Zea mays: one gene and its partners. The main gene of each other region encodes a partner of the protein of the gene in region 5 in a complex. Links are inferred from orthologs where the notes say so. Each region holds a gene or a part of one and is shown on either strand. Other genes may lie near its edges.

The links.
Region 1: 50S ribosomal protein L1, chloroplastic-like (region 5) and 50S ribosomal protein L27, chloroplastic share a complex: the UniProt entries of both Arabidopsis thaliana proteins name them as parts of the 50S ribosomal subunit. The link is inferred for Zea mays from reciprocal best matches to the Arabidopsis thaliana genes EMB3126 and RPL27.
Region 2: 50S ribosomal protein L1, chloroplastic-like (region 5) and 50S ribosomal protein L24, chloroplastic-like share a complex: the UniProt entries of both Arabidopsis thaliana proteins name them as parts of the 50S ribosomal subunit. The link is inferred for Zea mays from reciprocal best matches to the Arabidopsis thaliana genes EMB3126 and RPL24.
Region 3: 50S ribosomal protein L1, chloroplastic-like (region 5) and 50S ribosomal protein L31-like share a complex: the UniProt entries of both Arabidopsis thaliana proteins name them as parts of the 50S ribosomal subunit. The link is inferred for Zea mays from reciprocal best matches to the Arabidopsis thaliana genes EMB3126 and emb2184.
Region 4: 50S ribosomal protein L1, chloroplastic-like (region 5) and 50S ribosomal protein L15, chloroplastic-like precursor share a complex: the UniProt entries of both Arabidopsis thaliana proteins name them as parts of the 50S ribosomal subunit. The link is inferred for Zea mays from reciprocal best matches to the Arabidopsis thaliana genes EMB3126 and RPL15.
Region 6: 50S ribosomal protein L1, chloroplastic-like (region 5) and 50S ribosomal protein L9 share a complex: the UniProt entries of both Arabidopsis thaliana proteins name them as parts of the 50S ribosomal subunit. The link is inferred for Zea mays from reciprocal best matches to the Arabidopsis thaliana genes EMB3126 and RPL9.

What each region holds. Positions count from the first base shown.
Region 1 is NC_050103.1:167,360,501-167,363,927, reverse strand, and holds 50S ribosomal protein L27, chloroplastic, read left to right. Parts: upstream 1-1,214; 5' UTR 1,215-1,276; coding exon 1,277-1,570; intron 1,571-2,411; coding exon 2,412-2,513; intron 2,514-2,622; coding exon 2,623-2,799; 3' UTR 2,800-2,927; downstream 2,928-3,427.
Region 2 is NC_050100.1:50,135,649-50,139,948, reverse strand, and holds 50S ribosomal protein L24, chloroplastic-like, read left to right. Parts: upstream 1-1,500; 5' UTR 1,501-1,557; coding exon 1,558-1,686; intron 1,687-3,122; coding exon 3,123-3,161; intron 3,162-3,249; coding exon 3,250-3,477; intron 3,478-3,612; coding exon 3,613-3,795; 3' UTR 3,796-3,981; downstream 3,982-4,300. UniProt on the Arabidopsis thaliana protein: One of two assembly initiator proteins, it binds directly to the 5'-end of the 23S rRNA, where it nucleates assembly of the 50S subunit. Required for optimal plastid performance in terms of photosynthesis and growth.
Region 3 is NC_050098.1:221,940,097-221,942,782, forward strand, and holds 50S ribosomal protein L31-like, read left to right. Parts: upstream 1-1,336; 5' UTR 1,337-1,394; coding exon 1,395-1,484; intron 1,485-1,590; coding exon 1,591-1,893; 3' UTR 1,894-2,186; downstream 2,187-2,686. UniProt on the Arabidopsis thaliana protein: Binds the 23S rRNA.
Region 4 is NC_050096.1:27,447,188-27,450,737, forward strand, and holds 50S ribosomal protein L15, chloroplastic-like precursor, read left to right. Parts: upstream 1-1,311; 5' UTR 1,312-1,312; coding exon 1,313-1,742; intron 1,743-2,003; coding exon 2,004-2,155; intron 2,156-2,743; coding exon 2,744-2,965; 3' UTR 2,966-3,050; downstream 3,051-3,550.
Region 5 is NC_050101.1:154,265,028-154,269,266, forward strand, and holds the start of 50S ribosomal protein L1, chloroplastic-like, read left to right. Parts: upstream 1-1,439; 5' UTR 1,440-1,494; coding exon 1,495-1,821; intron 1,822-1,921; coding exon 1,922-2,101; intron 2,102-2,188; coding exon 2,189-2,243; intron 2,244-2,802; coding exon 2,803-2,930; intron 2,931-3,276; coding exon 3,277-3,360; intron 3,361-4,239. UniProt on the Arabidopsis thaliana protein: This protein binds directly to 23S ribosomal RNA.
Region 6 is NC_050100.1:222,785,531-222,789,779, forward strand, and holds 50S ribosomal protein L9, read right to left. Parts: upstream 2,801-4,249; 5' UTR 2,729-2,800; coding exon 2,585-2,728; intron 2,059-2,584; coding exon 1,931-2,058; intron 1,618-1,930; coding exon 1,572-1,617; intron 1,326-1,571; coding exon 1,228-1,325; intron 1,048-1,227; coding exon 1,000-1,047; intron 907-999; coding exon 786-906; 3' UTR 729-785; intron 643-728; 3' UTR 418-642; downstream 1-417. Other genes in the region: methyltransferase WBSCR22, read left to right, coding at 1-26; Chaperone protein dnaJ A7A, chloroplastic, read right to left, coding at 3,451-3,496. UniProt on the Arabidopsis thaliana protein: Binds to the 23S rRNA.

The DNA of each region.
Region 1 (3,427 bases), on a different chromosome or scaffold from region 5:
GCTTGGCCTTTTCGTGTCCTTTTCAGTTCCAAACTATTCACCGTGCAGTGGCAAAGATCGATATGGACTAACATTTTACAACCGCAAGCACGCTATAATTTGTCACAAATAAACAAGAGTGGGAAAAAGATAGAGGAAATGCGTTGTGTCGGTCGGGTCCGGCCGGGGTGGGGTGCGGGTGTGGGTGTCGCCGGCGAATCGTCAGACGAGGCAATGATCGCCGGCGGTCAATGTCATCTCTCCGTCCCCCTGCTGACGGTGCGTGCGGTGCGGTGACTGCTGCTAGTACAAGTAGTAGCAGCAGCCTGTGAGCGCCGTGCGCTGCTGCCTCTTTGAAATTTCTGGCATCCCTAGTGCCGCCGGAAATCTAACGCACACGGAGACGGAGGAGTAAACAGTGCAAACTGCAGCGAGTGAGCGGATGGAGCGTCTGGACTCTGGAGAACACGAGATTATTAGTGGGTGGTGGTGGTGGTGGTAGGGCCCTGTTTGCTTGTGTGGTCTGGTCTGGGCCATGATTAACTTGGACCCCCAAACGCTCTGCATCTCCCGCGCTTTCGTCAAGGATCCTAATCATGCCATGTGTCGGTCGTCTCCTCTTCTTCCGGCTCCAGCTTTGCCGTTGCCGCCGGTCAAGCCCATCATCATGCCTACTGCTTCTCTTGCTCTTGCTCTTGCTCCACAACAAGCCTGCCTGTCACTCTAGCTAGCTTCCCCGGCTATCTCCCCACGTGCCGACGCTAGCTAGCTGTGGCCATTCAGCGTCTCTCTGTGCAGCTCCGGAGGGAGGAACAAGATGATGCCCTTTTGGTTCACATATCATGTTTGTTTAACTCTAACTGAGCCTATTCAGACTTATTATCGTTGGTACTTGAATGTGAATCATTATCGTTACCACTTACGTTACATATCATGAACCAAACACCACCACACTGATCATTTTGTTTTCCCCCTGAATGATTCCTTCGTGAATCCTGTGTTGCCTTGCCTAAAACTACAAGGACCAAAACCGGCCAGGAGCATAACACCATTTCCCTCCCTTCCAATTCGGCCAGACACTCTGCAAGCACCACGAGGCCCATCTGCAAGTAAGGCCCAAAAACTCCAGGACCCAAAACACTGGGCCAACCACGAACGAGCCCACGTCTCCCGACTGCATCCCTTCTCCACTCCGTTATCACCAGCGCCCACACCTCTGTACCTCACCGCCTCATCTGCTCTCTTCCCCCGTCTTCTTCCCAAGCTGCCACGTTGCCTCCCTCCGCTCCAGCGGCCCATGGCCTCCATGGCGTTCGCCCTGGCGGGGGCCTTCAAGGGCCTCTCCCTGGCGCCCACCACCACCACCTCCTCCTTCCCGCGCTGCGACCGCGCCTCGCTCTCCGTCGGCGGCGCAGCGGGCGTGCCGGTGCCGGTGCCGGCGCGGCGGCTCACCATCCAGATGGCGCACAAGAAGGGGGCCGGGAGCACCAAGAACGGCCGCGACTCCAAGGGCCAGCGCCTCGGGGTCAAGATATACGGCGACCAGCTCGCCAAGCCCGGGGCCATCATCATCCGCCAGCGCGGCACCAGGGTCCTGCCCCCCTCTTGCTCCCTTCGCTTCCCTTACCTGTTACTGGTTTGCTTTGGGTTAGTAAGACAGCCTAGGCTCTTGCTTGCGTGGATTATGGTACCTCGTTGACTGGCTCTGCTGGGCGACATAGCTCTCTCTGCCTAGCGTTTGCTTGCTGCTCACCTGCTGCTGCTGCTGCTGATGCAGGTTAAGCATATTAACCACCGACCAGTACCTTCATACGGATTACGGACTGCGAATGCTAGAATCTTACGATGTACCTAGAATGCTTGCCATTGCACATGTTACGTTGGAATGTATGCTGCCATTGTGCATATCTGCATTTTCCATAGTTTACCACTCTGCAAAAGCAGGAAAGAAAAGATTGCAGTTTCTTGCATACATCAGATAACGGGAGGGGAAAGTGCACACACAAACCTCGCTGGGGAATGTAACGTACTAACCTCAATGCCCTATGGAGCCAACTGGTGGTGACTTAGGGGGGTGTTTGTTTGGGATTATAATCTGCCCAGGTTATATAATCCAACAAATTTTGAACTAAACACCCACCTTACTCTGCACACATGGTCAGACATAGCTGTTCAATATTAGGCATACTGTAAGATGGTCGGTCAATCCTTGTAAAAGATATTTCATGAACTTACATGTCTTACGATTTGGTTGGTCCGTCCTACTTACCAGCGCGCTTCAAATATTTAAGATGTTTATATATTATGGATACTACATGGTTTATACCATCGTGTCCCTTGTATAGAGTTCGTTTTGGTCCCCGTTTTGTGGTCTGTCTGTTCCTTGCCGTTTTTAAGTTTTTTCTTAAAATAAAATCTTTTGGACATTTCAGGTCTATCCTGGAAATAACGTTGGAATGGGCAAGGATCACACACTCTTTTCTTTGATAGATGGACTCGTCAAGTTTGAGAAGTATGGGCCGGACAAGAAAAAGGTTAGCTGTATCTTAGTTACTACATACTGAAATCTGCTTTTACTTGCATCTGACTGAGATCTGGTTGCACACCAGATATATGCTCATCTCACTACCTCTCCTTTCATAGGTTAGTGTTTACCCATATGAGAAGGAGCCTGAAAACCCAAACAGTTACAGAGCAAGGAAGAGAGAGTACTTCCGCATGCGGCGTGAACGGAAGAAGGCGAGAGCGGAGGGCGCCGCTGAGCCTCAGTTGGTACTAGCTGCTGTTGATGAAAACTCTGAGGTCAGCGCGGACTGCTGATAAGTTTCCTGTGTGGTGTTTCTCTTTTTCACAGCCCTTGTTACACTTTTTCTTCCTTAATTGTAAGACCACATGATCTATAAAGGTCATATTTACATGTGTTGTTTAGATAAATGGATATGTTCTACTTGTACTTTTTGTGGGGTAGTTGTGCTTTAGAGTCACAGTGGGGGTCTATTCCAACTTCCTAGACCACTCCACGTAGGGCGTGTTTGGTTCGGCTTTTTTCTGAATAGCTTTTCTGAAAAGCTGGTGGTTAGAATTTAGGTGTTTGGTTCGCCAGCTGTGCGGAAAAGCTGTTCGTTAGAATCTAGGTGTTTGGATACACAGATTCTCAGATTGCAGATTCTGTTTGAAGAAACTATACACATTAACACCGAACCAACAAAAGGTCATTACATATAATTAGTGGAGTTCATTACAACATAACTACTGTTACATTTACATATTTAACTACGGCACTAATGCATTAGCAATTGCATCTCGAAATGCACTCATGTCTAACTCATCAGATGTGATACTACTACTCTCACCTACAGATACATCATGACCAAGGCTATTAGGTCCTAGTTCATCAAAGTCTCTATCGTGTAGAGCACTGTCTCTAATGAAGTTATGCAATGTCATA
Region 2 (4,300 bases), on a different chromosome or scaffold from region 5:
TGGAGGCCACAAGGTGCAAAATCTCTATCACAGTGGGCAAATTAATCAACAACCGAAGGAAACTACTTGACATGTCTAGCTCCGAAACCTGTGAAAAAAAATGGTCCACATCTGGAGTGTCGCAAGCAAGTAGAGCTTTGCCCAGACAGATTGAGTTTTGCCCAGCACTCCAGCATCCATGCCTTAAAAGGTTATAGTTAGAAAGGGGGAGGATTGCTAAGCCCTTGCCAGTTAGCCACATAGAGAGAAGGCCTTATTATTAGATCATGCCATTTCTTTTCTTACAAAATTAACAAAGTGCAAAGCATTACTATGGCCACGAGGAACAGATAGCTACGAAATGAAACTGTCGCAATTATCATGGAAAAAAGCCACACATTTCCTTATCCATTTTGTTTGGTAGCGCCACATAGAAACAAAACTTCATGTCACGATTTGCATAGTTATCTCAACACATGTGGCGAATAGAAAAGGAGAAAGAGAAAAATAAACACAAGATTCTTAACCATAATAAGATATAATTTGTGTCGGGCATTTGCATAGTCACATGCTTATCCCATGGGGAACGTTAAAGGTTTGCTTGCACGGCAGGACCATTCCTGATTCCCTAGATGGTAGTTAGATGACGGCGATAGGAGCCGAGGCCCAACTGCCCAGTGATGTATTGGCCGTGTTGTTTATGTGATCTGTCATGGATGTCCTACTATGATTCAAGGATTTAGGACATGCGCAGAACTGCCAGCAATGAAAAGTCGAAGAAAGAGATATTGACTTCGAGGGGGAGAAATGTAGTCCACTATGAGAAAAGAGATACCCAATGTCTCTGGAGAAAAAGATCTGAGGTAAACACGTCTAACTTGCAACCATGATTTGCAATAGAGAAATCCGATTGACATCCCACCCTTTCTCGGTGCAGGATGGGACCTGCAGCAGCAAAAGCGCAAAGCTTCGATGTCACCGCCATCCACCTACCCTCCATCGCCCAAACTGTCTCTGTCTCTGTAACGCGAATTTTATTTTACACAACAGCAAAGTGAAAAACTGGAGTAGGGGGTTCGCTTGCCTCAGCAACCGTCGCGTAGCTTGCGCGCCTCGGCGCTGGAACGGGGAATCTGGAGGCGGGCACGCATCTCCCAAGCAATCTCGCGTGGCCTCGCGTAGCGTGCGAGGAGACACGCAGAGAGGGAGGGAGAGAGAAAGAGAGCCTTGACCCCGCCGTCCTCGTCCTGTCGTCCTGATAGCTGATGCAGTGATGCTGATCAGCTGATGCGTGCGGAGCTCGCTCGTGGAGCCGAGGCCCTAGCCTGTAGCCTCTCACGGCGGTAGAACGAGCACCCATGGGCCTCACTGGATCACCTAAGCGTCTTCCAGGCCCATCTGTGCCTCACCTGAGGCCTGTCTCATTTAGTGACGAGGCCCAACCCACCAGCGTCAGAATACAAGAGCGCGTTATCCTCTCTCTTCCGGTTCCGGGCAACTCGAAGAAGCCGCGTGCGTTATCCTTTGAGCAGTTTGGGCGCTGAGCAAGTCCAGTGAGAGAGGGAGAGCGGCGAGAGGATGGCTGGGATGGCATCGCTGCAGGGCGCCATGGCGTCGCTCTCCATCTCCGCGCTAGGCGCGGCGACGGCGAGCAGCAGCAGCTTCTGGGGCAACCGGCTCGCCACCTACTCCGCGCCGCAGCCTGGGGTCTGTTCCTGCTTCCCAATTCCGTTCCGTTCTGCTGATGGTTTGGTAGATAATAAGTAGCTGTTCTGGTGAAAGATTTTACTCTGGAGTTTCTGGATAGCGTTGCAAAGCGCGGTCGGATGGAATTGTTCTAGGGACATTCGAGCTTGCATTACGGTTTTGGAGCTAGTCTGTATGGATTGGATGCAATGAAATGGAAAATTACCTTTGCATTGTTATTAATTGTGCATTTTCAAGGATGACAAACCAGGCTTCTAATATGACTATGTTTAGGGGTGTTTGACATCACTCTAGAGCAAAACTTTAAGGAAGACCTGGACAAAGTCAACTAAACACCCTAATTCTAGAGTTGCAAACTCTATAGAGTTTTGAGAGTTGTAGTATAATTTTTTGGAGTACATTTTTTGCTACTTTGAAAAATCCTTCAAAAACAATCAAGACACATCCAATGCACTGGTTATGAGAAAGCAATCTACACTTCGGAGCAGATATACTTCACCCAAAGTTTTGGAGTAGAACTATGCCAAACTCGCCCTTATTAGATTTCATATTACATTAAGTTTCTATTTGCTCCACGACACACACTAAATTTAGACCGTGTCCATATTGAATTTCGTCTACCTTCTTTTTTTATTTTTATCTTGCATGGAAGCTTAAATGGTAAGATTTGAGTGCGCCAAATAGATTAACTGATTGGGATTAATTTAAGTAAGAGAATTTCCTTTGTCATTGGTAATCCGGTATTGTCCTTTTTGCATATACAACTATGCACATGTTTGCCTTTTAGTGCTAATAGAGAGTATGCTGTGTTTCATGTGGTAAAATTTGTTCGAGTACTCTTTATTTAGTTTGTTAACTGAGGAAATTATGTTGCTTTTGAAGCGGTCAAAATGTCAACTGAAGAAATTATGTTGCCCTCAATGTGCCACTGATTTTGTTTATATATATTTATGCCTGAATTACCCCACATCACACAATACATATGACTAACTGGAAACAAAATTTGGCGCCAAATAGTGTATTATGAGCATAATGATGTTTGTATTTGAACCCTGCTTTCTTTTCTGTGTCATCTTTATTATGCCTTACCTGTATGTACTTGTGCCTGGAAAATTCCCAACTGATAAGAATCGGATGAGGATAAACCTTTCTGTTAAGAAGCAAAAGCAAGTAAAGAATAGATAGTGAGGTCAAGTAATCACTGTTGAAGGAAGTGATAGAACCACTGTATTTTAAGGGATATCGTATTACTCAAACATAAAGAGGAGCCCTGGATCCTGTAGTGTCTTGATCAGATCAACATGAATCGTAACCACTGTGTTTGAGTCATGCCATATCTCAGAAGCATCTGATTAGTGTCTCTTTGATTTGAAATGGAATCTTATGTCTTTAGGATGTGAAGTTCTGACAAGCTGTTTAATATGTTCAATATGCAGGTAAGGTTTATGGTCAAGATATGCCCAATTGAAATGAGAGTGAGTAAAAAAAATCTTTAGTCCAAATATTTGATACCTTTTTTATCCAATAATGTGAAATGTCCTAAAACTTCACTTTCCACTGCAGCTTAAGAGATGGGAGCGAAAGAAGTGTAAACCAAACAGTCTTCCTGTGCTGCACAAGATGCATGTTAGGATCGGGGACACGGTACAGGTTATTGCAGGCCGTGAGAAAGGAAAGGTTGGAGAAGTCACACGCCTTTTCAAGCACAACAGCACGGTGATCGTGAAGGACCTGAACTTGAAGTCGAAGCACAAGAAAGGCACAGACGATGAACCCGGTGAAATCGTCATGGTCAGCAAAATTTCTATTGAACTTGTTTTTTGGGCCTCTCATGATGCTTTGCACATATTGGTTTCAAGAGCATATCTGTAGTTTTAGTAGGTGCCTAATCGTTCTCTTGATCAGACTTAAATTTTCTTTGATCAGATTGAAGGCCCCATTCATAGCTCAAATGTGATGCTCTACTCTAAGGAGAAGAGTGTGGTAAGCAGGGTTGGCCACAAATTCCTGGAGGACGGGACCAAGGTCCGATACCTGGTCAAGACCGGTGAAGTAATCGACAGTGTTGAGAAGTGGGTAAAGGTTTTTAAGGAAGGAAATTCGGAGTAACAGTTTTAGCATGAAAACCTGCAAAATGCTCTGAACGCTGACTGCGTCTTGCATGTTGAATTGAGCCTGTTTATCCCTCTATGTTGTTATTTACGCCAGTTTTTCCCCCTGTAAATTATACAGTTGTCACCAAATCTTGCAACGCAAGTCAATGCGCATCAGCATATGCTGATCTTGTTCCGCTTCACCAGTCAGAGTTTTGGATGAAAAACTATGAGGGCATGTTCGGTTACAGTAATCCAGAGGGGGATTGGAGGGGATTAAATCCCCTCCTAGTCATTTTTGACTAGGAGAGGATTTAATCCCCTCCAATCCCCCTCTGGATTGGTGTAACCGAACAAGCCCTGAACGGGCTTGTATGTGCGGGCAGCCCGTGTTCGTTTGCAGCTCTGGACCCACTACTCTCGGTCTCGTCCTCACTTCCTCAGAAATATCCACATATATCATTTCCTATATTACAAAGGCATATTACAAAGGCGAAGTAACCTGTGCACATGAAGCAATA
Region 3 (2,686 bases), on a different chromosome or scaffold from region 5:
CATAGTTTAGTATGAATTGCAGCAGAACATCGTAATTATGATCGACAAACATTGTTATACTCATACAACATGGAATAAATCTTTGTAGATGTAGTTAATCGATAAATAACAAATATAAAATTGCACCTATCAAAGTTAAAATATATGAATACTTAGCTAGATCTATTATCAACAAGGCATAATGAATAGAGATAGCCAAACAAACCAAAGTTAAAATATATGAATACTTAGGGCAGCATGACGTACGAATAATGATATACCAAAAGGTGATAGAAGAGTATAGTATTTAGTAAGAGCAACTACAATAGTTATGTATAATAATAATACCTAAATCCTAGATATAGCAAGTTCTCATATAATATAGGGGAAAAAATCATCTCATCCAACATTTCTCTATCTATTACTTTCTAAATATGTTAAATTTTAATTAACATGACGCTAGTTTGAGTAGGACCATTAGTGATGACACATTTAATTGGTGAGTTATGTTGGCTTTTTTATTTACTATCACAATTGTTTATTCGTTTATTTCTAACATGTGCACGTGCGGCTATTGCATTGGCAATTGGTTAATCTCTAGTTGACTACCTGCCACAATTTTACATCGTCGGCGTCCGACGAATGTGCTCTGTTAATATATCTCTACTACAAAGTGAAAAAACACCAAAATACAAAAGTTATCGTCAGTTTTTTGTTTAGGAAGTTGATAAATGGTTGCTAAATGTAGGGAGAAATTGAGATTAGATGAGAAGTAGCTAAATTTAGAAAATTCATTTAAGAGAGTTGTTGGAGATGAGTTTTTAGTTTAGCTACCTAAATTATTTATTGATTTAAGGAATCTTTTGGAGAACTACTAGAGTTGCTCTAATAGAGTTGCTCTAAATTATTTAATTTTATACTCTTAAGAAAACCGTAACAACTGTAATTGTAGTTTGCATATCATTCCTTAATTATATTTAAGTCAGACTCTACACGGCATGCAACTTTCTCTTCTTTTGGCCCACTAATTCAACCAACCATCTACCAACACTTTCATTTCTGGTGGTGTACTTTCTTCGACGTTACATCTATGAAAGAGAATTTTGATCCGAAATGTTTCGATAAATAAAAAACCGCATAGCTATACCTCTTTAGTATAGCTGGCCGCCAACTGGAAATAACTGAAGGAGAAATTGGGCACTGGATTTTTCGTGGGCCGTCGCATTTCCACGTAGCCCAAAACAAACCACAGACAGACTTTAATGAACATATAGAGCCCAAACAAGCCTAGACAACGCTACCTAAAGAGAGAATCGACGAGCGCCAGAGGATAACATTAGCAAGGCGATAGATAAGAGGAAGGAAAGAACATAGGCAGCCGAAGCGACTGTCGCGAGGCAAGGCCATCGTCCGCCATGACGCTCTCCCTCTCCACCTCTTTCCTCCCCATCCCCGCCGCCGCGAGGACCACCGCCCGCACCCTACGCTCCGTCGTCCCCTCCCAGGTACGCACGTTCGTACACACCGGCCCTCCCTCTCGCCATTCCTGCACGGATCTTCGTCGTCGCCGCCGCTAATTCCTGAGTCCGGAACCTGGACGGCGCGGTGCAGGGGATGCGCTGCTCGATGCGCAAGAAGGGGTTGCACCCGGAGATCTACGAGGACGCGAAGGTGTACTGCAACGGCGAGCTGGTGCTGGTGACGGGGGGCACCAAGCCGGAGTACACGGTGGACGTGTGGTCCGGAAACCACCCCTACTATGTCGGCGACACCTCGGCGCTCGTGGTCATGGACAGCCAGATCGAGAAGTTCCGCAAGAAGTGGGGCCACATCAAGGAGTACTGGCCCGAGGACCAGTGGAGGGAGATGCACCCAGACGGCGACCCGGAGTTCGAGCCCGAGGGGGACAACTGATTGATGGCTCCCCGTCTTCCTCACCCGGTGCGTGGTCACCGGTCCAGTTTACATTTGCCCTCTTGAATGGAATCGAGACTCTGTCTGTTCGCATTGCTCTCCAGGTGTTCGGTTAATGTTCGGAATGGAAAATGTACAATTACTACTACTTCACGAGATAGGGTCTTGTTGATCATGGGCCCCCAAATACAATGTGCTTTCTGCAATGCACTCTAGGGTAGGATGGTATTGATCAAACAAGCAAATGATCCTGGTTCGAGGAAATGGATATTTCTCACTAGGAGTATACGCTGATGCTTGACTACAGCTTGAGTCGTCTGCTGATAACCTGATACCGCATACTGTTTGATCAAACTAGCCTCCTGTTGCTAGGTGATCCAATTTCCGAGTCATAGTTTTATACAACCAATTTTTCCATGCGACTGAACTAATTGAGTGTCCATGTGTTGCATGATATATAAAACATGTCGTGACATACGGCCATATGGGTGGAATAGAATATTTGTAAAATCTCATGCCATTACAAACAATTAGCACCAACATATAATTCAAGCTAATTTCTATAAAATAAAACAAAATGACTATAATATTATTGGCTTAATCTAGACAAAAGAAAAGTAAGTAATTTTATTTTGTTATTAATAAACCGTTGAAGATAATATCATACACTAGCTCTGATTCACTCTATTTCCTACGTTGATAGAAAATGTGGCGGAAATAAGAATAGATAGCGACAAGCAAATAGATACTCCCTCCGGTGTTATATTATTTGTCGTTTTGGATAATGTTCGAG
Region 4 (3,550 bases), on a different chromosome or scaffold from region 5:
AAGGTACCCATTTTTGTGAACCATGAAGGTGACAAGTCTCAATTACACCCTTGTAGCTTGCTCAATCCTCCTATCCACCTTGAGATTATGTAAGATCACTAAAGAAAACATTAGTCTCAAATAACACAAGATATGTGTGCTCCCCTCAAATTCTGCATCAAGTACTTGAATACAAGGTTACAATAAGCGCTAGGCGTTAGGCGGGCGTTAGGCCACTGTTTAGCGCCTAGAGAGCTTAGGCGTAGATTAATCGTGCTTAAGCGTTTGTAGGAATATACAATATAATATATATATTTGCACAGAAAAAACAGTTTTAGCTAGGAATTAGGGGTACTTACCTGGAATAATGAATAAAAGTATAGAACAGAAGAGATGGAGGAGCAGAGCAAGAGCAGAGGGAGAGGGAGAGCACGCCTGGATAGCTAGGGAAAAGGAGCAGAGAGGCGCTGACCCCGGTGGCCTGGACGACTTGACCAGAAGGAGAAGAGGAACCGACGGTGGCGGCCCTGGACAGCTGGGGAAGAGGACCAGTCTGGCAGCGGCCCTGTTTTCCTCCTCTTCCATGCAACAGCAGCTGCAGCTCCCAGCCTGTTTCACTCTCTCCCGGGCAACAGCAGCTCCCACCTCTTTCCCTCCTATTCACTTTCTATTCCCGCGCAGCAGCTTTTTTCTATTCCCGCGCAGCAGCTTCCGTGCTCACCTTTTCCCCGCGCGCCGAACCCCGCTTCCACACGCCTCCTTTCCGCCTCAGCGCGCATAGCGCAAATCACGCGCCGCCTACACGCGCCCACCGCGGAAACCACCGCCTAGGGCCTAAGCGCAGCGCTAACATGCCGCTTAGCGTCTAATCGTGATTAGGCGGGCGCTTAATCGCGCTTTTTTGAACATTGCTTGAATAACTTATTCTACCCACATTCTAGCAATTAAGGATGTGTTTGGTTGCCGGACAGAGTTTTTTGCTTAAGTTTGTGCATATTGCAAATCTTTTTGAAAAGATGTGAAAAAGGTATGGTTCTATCCCTTACTCAATTATTTTAGTTGCTAACTATGTTTGTCTAAGCGTTAGAGAATATAATGTATCAAAGTTTTGATATAGTTCTATCTTCTATTCAGAAAAATACCGATTTTTTCTTCTTTATATACAACTTTCGAGTATATTATTATTATTGACATGAATGGGCCACGGCTGTTTGAAAAACAGGCCCAAATAAAGAGTGGAAGAGGCCCATCGTCTCCATCTTATCTCGTTCCCAAACCCCAATTATCCGCTTCTATCCACAATCGCAATTCGCAAGCCCTTCCAACGGCAGTCATGGCTTCCATCACCCTCCTCTCCCTCGCTCCCACCGCCATCTTCCTCCACATCCCGGCTTTCACCTCCTCCTCCGTCGTTGGTCCCGGAATCCTAGCCGGCCGCTGGGCCGCGCCCCGCGCCCTCCCGCTCCGCGCGCTCCCGCCCCGTCGCGTCACCGTCGTCTGCAGCAGCGCCGCGGCGGCAGCCGAGGCCTCGGACGCCGCAGCGCCAGTGGAGAAGTTCCGGCTCGACAATTTGGGGCCCCAGAAGGGGTCCCGCCGGCGGCCCAAGCGTAAGGGACGCGGTATTGCTGCAGGCCAGGGCGCGAGCTGCGGGTTCGGTATGCGCGGGCAGAAATCGCGCTCGGGGCCCGGCGTCCGGCGCGGGTTCGAGGGAGGGCAGATGCCGCTCTACCGCCGTCTCCCCAAGCTACGGGGCATTGCCGGCGGTGAGTTGCTTCAGTTAAACCGAAGCTTCCCCTAATGCACTCAATCGAAGCAACTCGCTAAGCTCTAGTTCAGACAGATGCTTGTCTCACACCCCCACTTCGGCATTGCCCATCCGTGATTAAATTCACACCAGGCTGGCGCATAACTAATTGAACTATGCATTGTGTTGTTACTCGTGAGAGCCCATCAAGGTTACAAGGAATGCAGAAATGCAAGTGATTGAGAAGTTGCCTGATGTGAGTTCCACCATGGCTTTTCAGGGATGCACATTGGCCTGCCGAAGTATGTGCCATTCAATTTAAAAGACATAGTGCGCGGCGGATTCAAAGATGGTGACGAAATATCACTGGAAAGCCTGAAATCACGGGGTCTGATCAATCCATCAGGCAGGGAAAGGAAGCTGCCGCTGAAGGTAAATCTTTTGATGATTAACCTTTGGTTGTTTCAATAAAACTTGTTTTGTGGACTGGTATTTGTGACATAGAACTTGACACGTTCGAAAATATGAATGACTTCATATTCAAGGGTTTGGCTTAGGTCTTGGCCAGTGAGGACATGTTCTCTTTAAGGCAACCTTATTGTACCCCAGATTTGAAGCAAGAATCGAAGTGTTTAGTGATTTGTCGTTAGATTGAGTGGCCAGTATTCTTACTTTTTTACTTCTTATAGGTTGTTGTATCGATTCTGAATTAGCCTGTGATAATGTTAGGTACCAAGTTTATCCACTTGAGTTAGAGTCATCTATTAGAACATGCAATACGGGATCGAGTTTTTTTGGTTGTTTCTGTTAGATGAGCACCACTTGAAGTGTTGAATAGCTTTGTTTGTACAATTTGGCAATGTTCCCATAGGTTGTTCATTGGATTTACAATATATTCTAGAGTAACTACAAACTTCCATATCTGCTAACATAAACATGAAGTGGCATGTGCCACCTGTTAGTTTTTGCAATCATATTTTGTCTTACCTTCATGATCACTTGTTGTTCACCTGTTTGTAGATCTTAGGAGATGGGGATGTATCAGTTAAGTTGAATATCAAGGCTGGAGCGTTTTCAGCTTCAGCTAAAGAGAAGCTTGAGGCAGCTGGTTGTTCCCTAACTCTGTTACCTAAACGAAAGAAATGGCTTCCACAAAATTATCTAAAGAACCAAGCCCGAGCAGAAGAGTACTTTGCCAAGAAAAAAGCTGGTGCTGGTGAATCTGATAGCGGCTCTGCATAGAATTTCTTTGCGATGTACTCTTCTCTTGCTTTTAGCATATGCTTATTACTGAGCAAGACACACCGGCTCAACTAAAAATGTTCATAACTTCTTCATCCAAACTCTGACTTCGATGATATTAGACATTTCGGAAATTTTATTTAAAGGGCTACGATAGCCACTTTAATAATTGATTCAGAACAAAATGGACTAATCCAGAATTCAAATCCAAAGACACAACCCTTGGTTAGGAGAATATCGAAAACCTTTTTTTACAAAGAAAGTTAACTCCAAATGATTTCCCACGTGATGATCAACACCTTTAAGACTTAGTTAGCATTTTCAAAGGTTTTTTATCTCAAACTTTATCCACCACTTGATCCTAGCAACATATGCAAAGTTAGATCACTCAAGTGGCTCTAGATGACAGATATGGAAACAATGTTGACTATCTTAATAGTACGACCATCTATTTTAAACCAGATTATGCACAATTCTACACAACCTTTGATTGGTGAAATGAGATGCTCTGCAAGTAATACATTTCCCTTGTACATTCTATTTCATCTCCCGAAACAATGACACAACACAAGCATCGACCTCTAT
Region 5 (4,239 bases):
CTCGTTTCAAGCTACTTAGCCGTTCTAACTTTAACAACTAAGTTTTGTGGCTATTAGTGTTGAATTTTACAGGATCACCTATTCACCCCTTTCTAGGTGCTCTCAATATTGCTACAGTTTTTGTATATCATATATGTTGCATTTCCTTAAATTATATATATATATATTCAAACATGATTATATTTTTTTTTTAAATTATAGTGTATAGATATATATAATCTCTCCTTTATGTACCACAAATGGATGTGTGCCATAGTGGTAGGAGCCCTGCCGCGTTGGACGGACACGGGCGCTCACGCGTAGAGGTGGTAATGGATCACGATCCAAATGCCTCTTCACAAAAGTTAAGGCCCTTAAATAATATTAGTTCAAAAATGAATAAGAATAGAGCCCGACCCTAATCCGATTCGATCCTTAAAATTTGCAGTATAAAGTTTATAGCCCATTACCACCCCTACTCACGCGTGAGAGACACATGGCGACGCACAAAGAAAATTCTATATTAAAAGTGTAGTGATATATGAGATAATTTTCTCTCTCTCCCTCTACATGGTGGCAGCAGGGGAAAAAGTTGGAGCTCCTGCACTTTCTAAAGTTCATTGTATGTATGTGGAGTGGTGTGCCATTGAAACAACCTAAAGTCTGATTACAAAGTGAGAAAACCACATGTTATGGTCACACTACCAATGTATTACAACATAGGCCTCAGAACTATAGGAGGAATTGACGGTGGAGGCACGAGTGAAGGGGAGAGGGCGACGGGGACGCGAGGGAGGGAGAGGTTGGAGGCGACAGATTGTGGGAAAGGGAAGGGTGACATGACAAATGATAGATGATCTAGATAATATTGTTCATCATTGAATTTGAGTAAGGGTGATAGAGTTATCCAGCTATCTGAATTTGTTTGGTGGATAATCTAAATAATATAGTAGTATAGATATAGAGTAGAGTCAAGGGCCACACACAAACAGTTCGCAGTCGCAGGCTGGCAGCCACAGCCACACATGCGTCCCTCGTCGCTGCCGCTCGAACCCACACGCGAACCGCGACCACACACCTGTCCGGCTGCCTCGCGCGCATCCGCATGGCTCTCGGTCCTCGGGGCTGAGCCAAATCAGGAGCTCCGAACACCTGCGCGCGTCTCGGCCCAGCCAACTCGCCGTGTTTCTCCTTACCCGTCGCCCGCGCGGACACGACACGATCGCACACTCGTACACCCGCTCGTCCCAACTCCCAACCAAGATCAGGCAGGTGACCGGGCGTCTCGGTTGAGCCAAAATCACTGGAATCAGGGGGGAGGAGTTTTCCAGGCGCGGCGCCCGTCATCCCTGCCCCTGCGAGGCTGCGACCGCGAGCCCGCCCACGACCAGCCCTATCCGATGAACACCCAGGCCGAGATCTTTCGGCTATAACCAACCCGCGCTGCCACTTCGGCTTCTCTTTCTATCCCTCCACTCCCTCTTATCTGCTGCGCCATCCTCCCCGGCCTCCACCATGGCCACAGCCGCCGCGGCCACCGCCTCCTCCTCCCTCCTCGCGCCGGCGGCCAGCAGCACGGCGCCGGCCTCGTCAAACGCGCTGCTGTTCCCCTCCTCCGTGCCGTCGCTGCGTGCGTACCCGCGGCTCCTCCTCGCGTTCCGCCGCCCCGCCGCGGCCGCCATCGCCGACCCGCAGGGGGCCGTGCTCGAAGAGGAGGCGGAGGTCGACCAGCAGGGCCAGTACGACGACGACGACGGGTATGAGGGCGGGCGCGGCCCCGCGTTCACGGCCCCCACGCGCCCGCGCACCGGCAAGGCCGCGCTACTGCTTAAGCGCGACCGCGTACGCATATCGCCGAATACCCCACCCTCCGTATATGGTTCCTGTGGCTTGCTTGCTTGTGTACGGCCGGTGATGCTGTGCTAGTTTTGATGGTGCGCAGACGAGGTCGAAGAGGTTCCTCGAGATACAGAAGCTGAGGGAGAGCAAGAAGGACTACGACGTGCCCACCGCCATCTCGTTGATGAAGCAGATGTCCAGTGCCAAGTTTGTTGAGTCAGCGGAGGCGCACTTCCGCATGAATCTCGACCCCAAGTACAATGACCAGCAGCTCCGGGCCACGGTATTGTTTCTTCTTTTCTGGCCTTCTCTTTTTGGTTGCTTGTGCCCTGTTGCGTTCGTTAATTTGTGCTGGTCGTGGTGACCACAGGTGAATTTGCCCAAGGGAACAGGCCAGTCGGTGAAGATTGCGGTTCTCACACAAGGTGGGCGGTGATTGAAACACAACGAAATCCTGTTGAGCGATAGTTAGTACAAACTGAATTCACTGTGCTAGTGGGTCATATGTGTGATTGTTCTGTTTGACACTATTGCCTTGCCTCATGTGTGACTATGGGTTTAATCTGAAACACGCTTGTCTTTATTTTTATGCAAACATTGTGTGCTGATGACCCGATTGGTTAATTTTGTATTTTTTTTCTTCTTAAAGTACCATGGCTTCTTTCAGAGTTCAAATGCAACATATTGGATTGGACAAAGTTAATTCATCTTTGGCATCTTGGTAGAAGAATTTAACAATCAGTTTATTATGTTCATGATGTTTCTACTTCTTTGTTTTTTACAAGAAGTCACTTGGGAGTTGGGATGGTGCTATTTTTGTGCTGTCCACTTAGCAAACCCTTGTTGAATGACTGAAACTTCTCTTTCATATCCTTTGTGAAAGATAGTCATGTTTTTCTTGTCATTATCATAAAGATGGTAGCACCAGTAGTTGAAATAATCATGGTCATTATATGCATTAATAGTTATTTTCTGACCTCACAGGTGAGAAGATAGATGAAGCTAGAGCTGCCGGAGCTGATATCGTAGGTGGAGAAGATTTGATTGAACAAATAAAAGGAGGATTTATGGAGTTTGACAAATTGATTGCATCACCTGATATGATGCCTAAGGTATGAGCTATTAACAGTTCTGCCTTCATTTCAATTTACTGTTGGATACTACCACAAAATTTGAAATGAAATATTTAGTTGTGCTTACTATAGGTCCTAAGTGTCTTACCATGTAAACTGTTAATTTTTTTGTTTTCTATAGATAAAATAGATTGGCTATGCCAATCTAATTTCGGAATACAAGAATACATGTGTGAGATGTTTCATTCTTTGATAACTAATGCTAAACTAAATGTCCAAAGTTCTGTATATATTTGTTGCATTATTTGACATGTTCGTAGAAACTTTCAATGTGGGCTCCCCTTTAAATGATTATCAGCCTGAGTTATTTCTGTTTACTTTTCAGGTTGCGGGCTTAGGTAAGATTCTAGGACCAAGAGGACTGATGCCTAACCCCAAAGCTGGCACTGTTTCTTCAAATATTACTCAGGTATTGAGGAAGTCAATACAGATTTTGTTTGCCTCAGTTTTTTTATCGATATTCTAAATCGTTTGTCTTCATTGCTTAGTCTGGGCACTGTGACAAGATTTAAAACTTCATGCCCTTGTAGTATTTACTGACTTCTAGGATTCATGTACAAGTAACTTCCTACCTTTATCAGTTGCATTTACTTTCCTGTACTCCGATAATTCAAGGTTCAGGCATGGTGTTTTTATTGAACACATGTTTGTAATTTAATTGTGCATAGCAAGAGTTCAGGAAGTTGAAATAGTTGGTTTTACTGATCGCCGAGGAAACTAGATGAGACACATGTTGGAAGATATGAAGCGTTATCAGTGGTAATAATATGAGTAAACTACACTGGCGGTCCCTAAACTATTATGTAATTCTCATTTGGGTCCCAAGCTATGAAATTGCATATCTAGGTCCCTAAACTATATAAGTATCATATCTTGATCCAAAATAACCACATCACAGTCCATCAACTGACGTGGCACTCCAGCGTGAAGCTGACATATGGGTCCATAGTTCATAGTTACAAGGGCTGTCTAAACTATCATAGGATTCTCAGCTAGGTCCCAAACTATAAAACTACTCATCTAGGTCCCTAACCTATTAAAGTACTACAATCCTAATCCAAATTTTATAGTTTGAGACTTTTGTAAGAATCCAATGATAGTTTAGGTATCATCCTTGTAATTATGAGTTATGGACATGCATGTCGGTTCCACGCTAGAGTGCAATGTTAGCTAATGAACTGTGATGTGACTGTTTTGCACCGGGATGGGATACTTAAATAGTTTAGGGACCTAGATATGCAATTTCATAGTTTGGGGATCTAAATGAGAATCGTGCGGTAGGTTAGGG
Region 6 (4,249 bases), on a different chromosome or scaffold from region 5:
GGCGTAAGCGGAAAGGCTATTTCTAGCTCTGTGCAATGCCCCCTTGCCTGCAATGCTGGCTGTTCAGTTATGATGCTAGTTCATTTAGCAGAAGCAGAAGGATTTTTGTAAAGGGTGAAGCGAGGAGTTGTACTGGTATTCGGGAGTCATTGCATTTTTAGACAACGATGTGAAACTGTCATTTTTGTAGAACGTGGATGTTGAGATGAATACAGTTGGTTTGCGTGAATCTGTATCAGATCGCTGGTGACGCCCAGACTTTGGCTAAAAGAAACGCAGTTCATGTGTCAAGTACGTTGGTGTTCCAATCTGAATAACGCTCTATGGAGCCCCATACTTAGCAAATTTCTTGCCTTTTTTTTGTAGTGGATGCAGACGTAGAGGTGGGGAAGGTTAGAGGACAAGAAAGAAGGGTCGTTTTTGGCGAAGTAGTGCTCTACAGTTCAAACAAATTGTTCTTTACAACAATTTATATTTTCCGCCTCAAAATCAACAGATATAATTGTTGAAAACTTGACTTCACACGGTAGGGAATAGGATGCGCAGTGAGCCAGTGAATTGTGTATCAAAACCAGGCAAGTCACGGCCAGACCAGGCCTCATGTCTACCGCAGCACCTGGCACTTGCAGCAAAATCTCTGCACTAAACAAAAGCAACTGTGTAAGAGCAAGACCAGCGGAATTCTAAGAGCCAAATCTCAAGGAAAGAACAACGGCAAATGAGCTCGCCTGGCAAACATCAGGCTTCTCCAAAGTCCATTACTCGAGGTTCTGTAACTGCTGAGCTCATTTCGCATAGACATTCAGCCTTACTCGCGCTGTCACGTCTGGGTGAAGCTTGATCTCTGCAACATACTCTCCGATTTCACGGATTTCTGGAACCGTCACCAGCTTCTTGTCGACATCCCTACAAGACACAGCGTGCCAGCAGTAAGAGAAGCAATATAATGATGAGAAACGCTATTAAGATTGCCTAGGAGTTAGGAGCATATGCACTTGCCTATTAAGTTGTGACTTTATTATGTCAACAACATCCTGTGCCGTGACACTGTACAATAAAAGATATCGTCAGAAAAGTGAAAGTAAGACTATACCCAGCAGATAGTGACACTATAGATTGCAGTGTGTACAAAGTAGAGTTTGAAATGAGAGATGGAGATGGGTAAGCTGTAAGAGATAGCCTGAGACAAGAGAGAATAAATAATGGATTGTCCAACTTAGAACTTGCCTCCCAAAGATCTGTTTTCCTTTTCCACCTTTGCGAGGGAGTTTGAAAGCGCCAATGGTTTCAAAAACTCGAGCAAGTTGTTGCGCGTCTTCTTTTACCTATGTAAATAGAGGACTTCTTAAGGCCATAATTATAAACAAAAACTGATAAAAATGCATTGATAGAATTTCATGAACATATCATGCTTAGGACTTAAATTACGGAGGACATAAAGGCACTATATTTTCTTTTCATAAGGAAAGTAAGGATAAACTGCAATTGAAGTTTACTCTCCAGACAAAGAAAAAGGTCGCTGAGGTTAAATTGCAACTACATTTATTACTGAGTAAAATATTTTTTCCTACCCGCTTCTTCTCAGCTTCTATTCTCTCCTGCTCCAGCTGCATTTCCCTGCGAAGAGAAGTAGAGGCAATAAATTCATTCGCAATCTTACTTACCCATCGAATCAAACAGTATGTGTGTCGACCATTGCAATTCTATTAGAAAGGTGCATGGATTGGATTCATATCTCAATCTAGTTTTGCTAGGTGCCTAGGTCCCAAACCTCAGAGTCAAACTAAGCATACCACAGAGAAGGTCATACGGTTGCCAGCAGCCACTGAATCATTTGACAGAGTGTGGACTTTGCAATTACTTGAGGATTAAATGACATAACTAACAAAGCAAAGCAAGTGAGGGATAACCGAGAGCTGGTAGCAATTACTTGAGGACTTCTGGGGTCAGAAGTGTAGCCTTGCCCTTGGGAAGGAGGAAGTTGCGGTAGAATCCAGCTCGCACCTTCAGTGTATCCCCTTTCTTCCCCACCTCTTCTATGTCGTCTGTCAATATGACCTATGGGAAAGAATTGTTTTTTTTATGGAGAAAGGTAAAATCACATGTAATGCTAAGGGTGGCGGTAATAGCTACACAAGATAAGCACCACATTGTCAATTTAACTGGATGCACCGTTGTTGCATTCTTGTACAATCAGGCAAACACAGCAAAAGGAACGACTTATGAACTGAACTCCAACTAGTGAGGCAAGGCTCCCATCAAAGGTATTTCATCCCTAGTATCTAAATCCCCTGCCTAAAAGCCTGGTTAGTAGTAGTAGTAGTACAACTCTTGGAGCATCTAAATTGTGCGAGCCACTATATCTTACCTGTTGCCAGTGAGACAGCTAAGCTAGCTAACTTCATTTGTATCTATTGATCACAATATACAAACGTACCGACGGCGGTGCATCAATTTTTTTAGAGAAGAAAACTAAAACGCGGCAGGTTATGATGCCCTCAGCAACCCGCGTGCATTAACTGATTGCTAAGATGAAATCAGCACAGAACTCGAACATAAGAACACGCGGAAAGCCCGGGCCGACCTGGCGGTACTTCTTGACCTTCCCCTGGGCGACGATGACCAGCGACGGAGCCCGGCGAGAGGCCGTGAGGCAGCGCCCCGCCGAGGGCCGCGGGTAGGAGGCGGGGGTCCAGGGCAGCGTGGAGGCGCACGACAGCGACGCCATTGCTCTCGCGCTTCGCTACTCAAGCAAGTGGCGCTTCGGTCGCCTCCTCCGCTCGCACCGCTTTCCTTTCTTATCCATCCACTGACTTCGCGAGAGGCCTAAATAATGGTTTGGGCCCGGAAATGAGAAAGCGGCGGCGGCGGCCCAATCGATCTGGAATGGATAATGTCACGGCTCCGTAGAGCCCGTTTCACAGCTTCTCTCGCCTGTCGCGCTGCGTCCATGGCGGGAGCCTGCGCGGTCGCCGTGCCCGGATCCAGCCGCGTGAACTGCCGGCGTGATAGCCCTTTCTCGAAACTGAGAATTCGATATCACCGAAACGTATTTCTAATAAATAGTTCCATCGCATCTTGTAAGTTGGATAAGTTTGCAATTCGATATCGGTGAATTTGATTAATCCAAAACCTCAAGTACAGTGTTTGTCTAGTCCCGGGGTTTGGGATCAGCATCCCACAGCTTCAGACTTCTACGCCGCTTGCCAGACTGAAAAGGACTCCAACTACATAAAAATAATTGCTTGGCAAGAATGACAAGGGACCAACGCCGCGACGATATTAGTTGACAACTTTCACTCCCTCGGTTGCCACTCAGCCTGAAAATCTTGCAGCTCTCCAATAAAACGAATATACGAGCTCGTGGGGACCCCCAATGAATCTAAGAACTTTGATTGGACTACAGCACCATGTAAGACAATCTTCTATCCTGCAGTAAATATTTACAGCCTACAGGTTGTCGTTCAGCCACTTCGCAGCGCCATTAACAATGGACCTGAAAGAATTCAACATCTAGGTCAGAATACAAGAGATAACCCAATCACAAAAATGTCTGATGAACTAAATCAATCAACATTTTTTCCTCTCGAACTCAGCCAACCTTTTATTTTTCTCGAACACAACTAACACAGTTAGGATGGCTCAAATTTCAACAGAGGTTATGCATCTGCATTCAAATCTCCCATTACTACAGTGTAATTTCCCCTTTTAAAGAATACTCGGAAATGTAATGCAGTGACCAAAAATATAGTTCATTACTACAAGATTAAGTTGGGTTGGTTCAGATTTCAATAAAAGAGGCATCTGCATTCAACTTCCCATTACTATTTACTACACTAGACCGGACGGGGCGCTCCGCTGCGCCAGTTTCGAAGTGCGTGAAAGAACAGGTAAAGTGATAAGTCGTTCAACAGCGATCGGTGAACAGTAATATTCAGAGATACATCAGCCAACACGCGTGAAGCCACGGCCGCAGGCTGGATAATTTAAAATGCAGGCGTGAAGAGAAAGGCGTTCAGATTTTAAGAAACTTAATTTGTAATTTTCCCTTTTAATAAAGGAGTACGTGAAAATGTAACGGCTGCCATAAACAACTAGGTAGTTTATACTTTATACCACCAGAAGTCCAGAACAGGGAAGTATAGTACAAAACCTATATGCTCAATGTAATGATTTTTTTTTCAGCGCGGTGTTACCTCATTACCCTTTAGTTAAGAAAAAGAGACAATACAAAACCTATTTTTCAGCA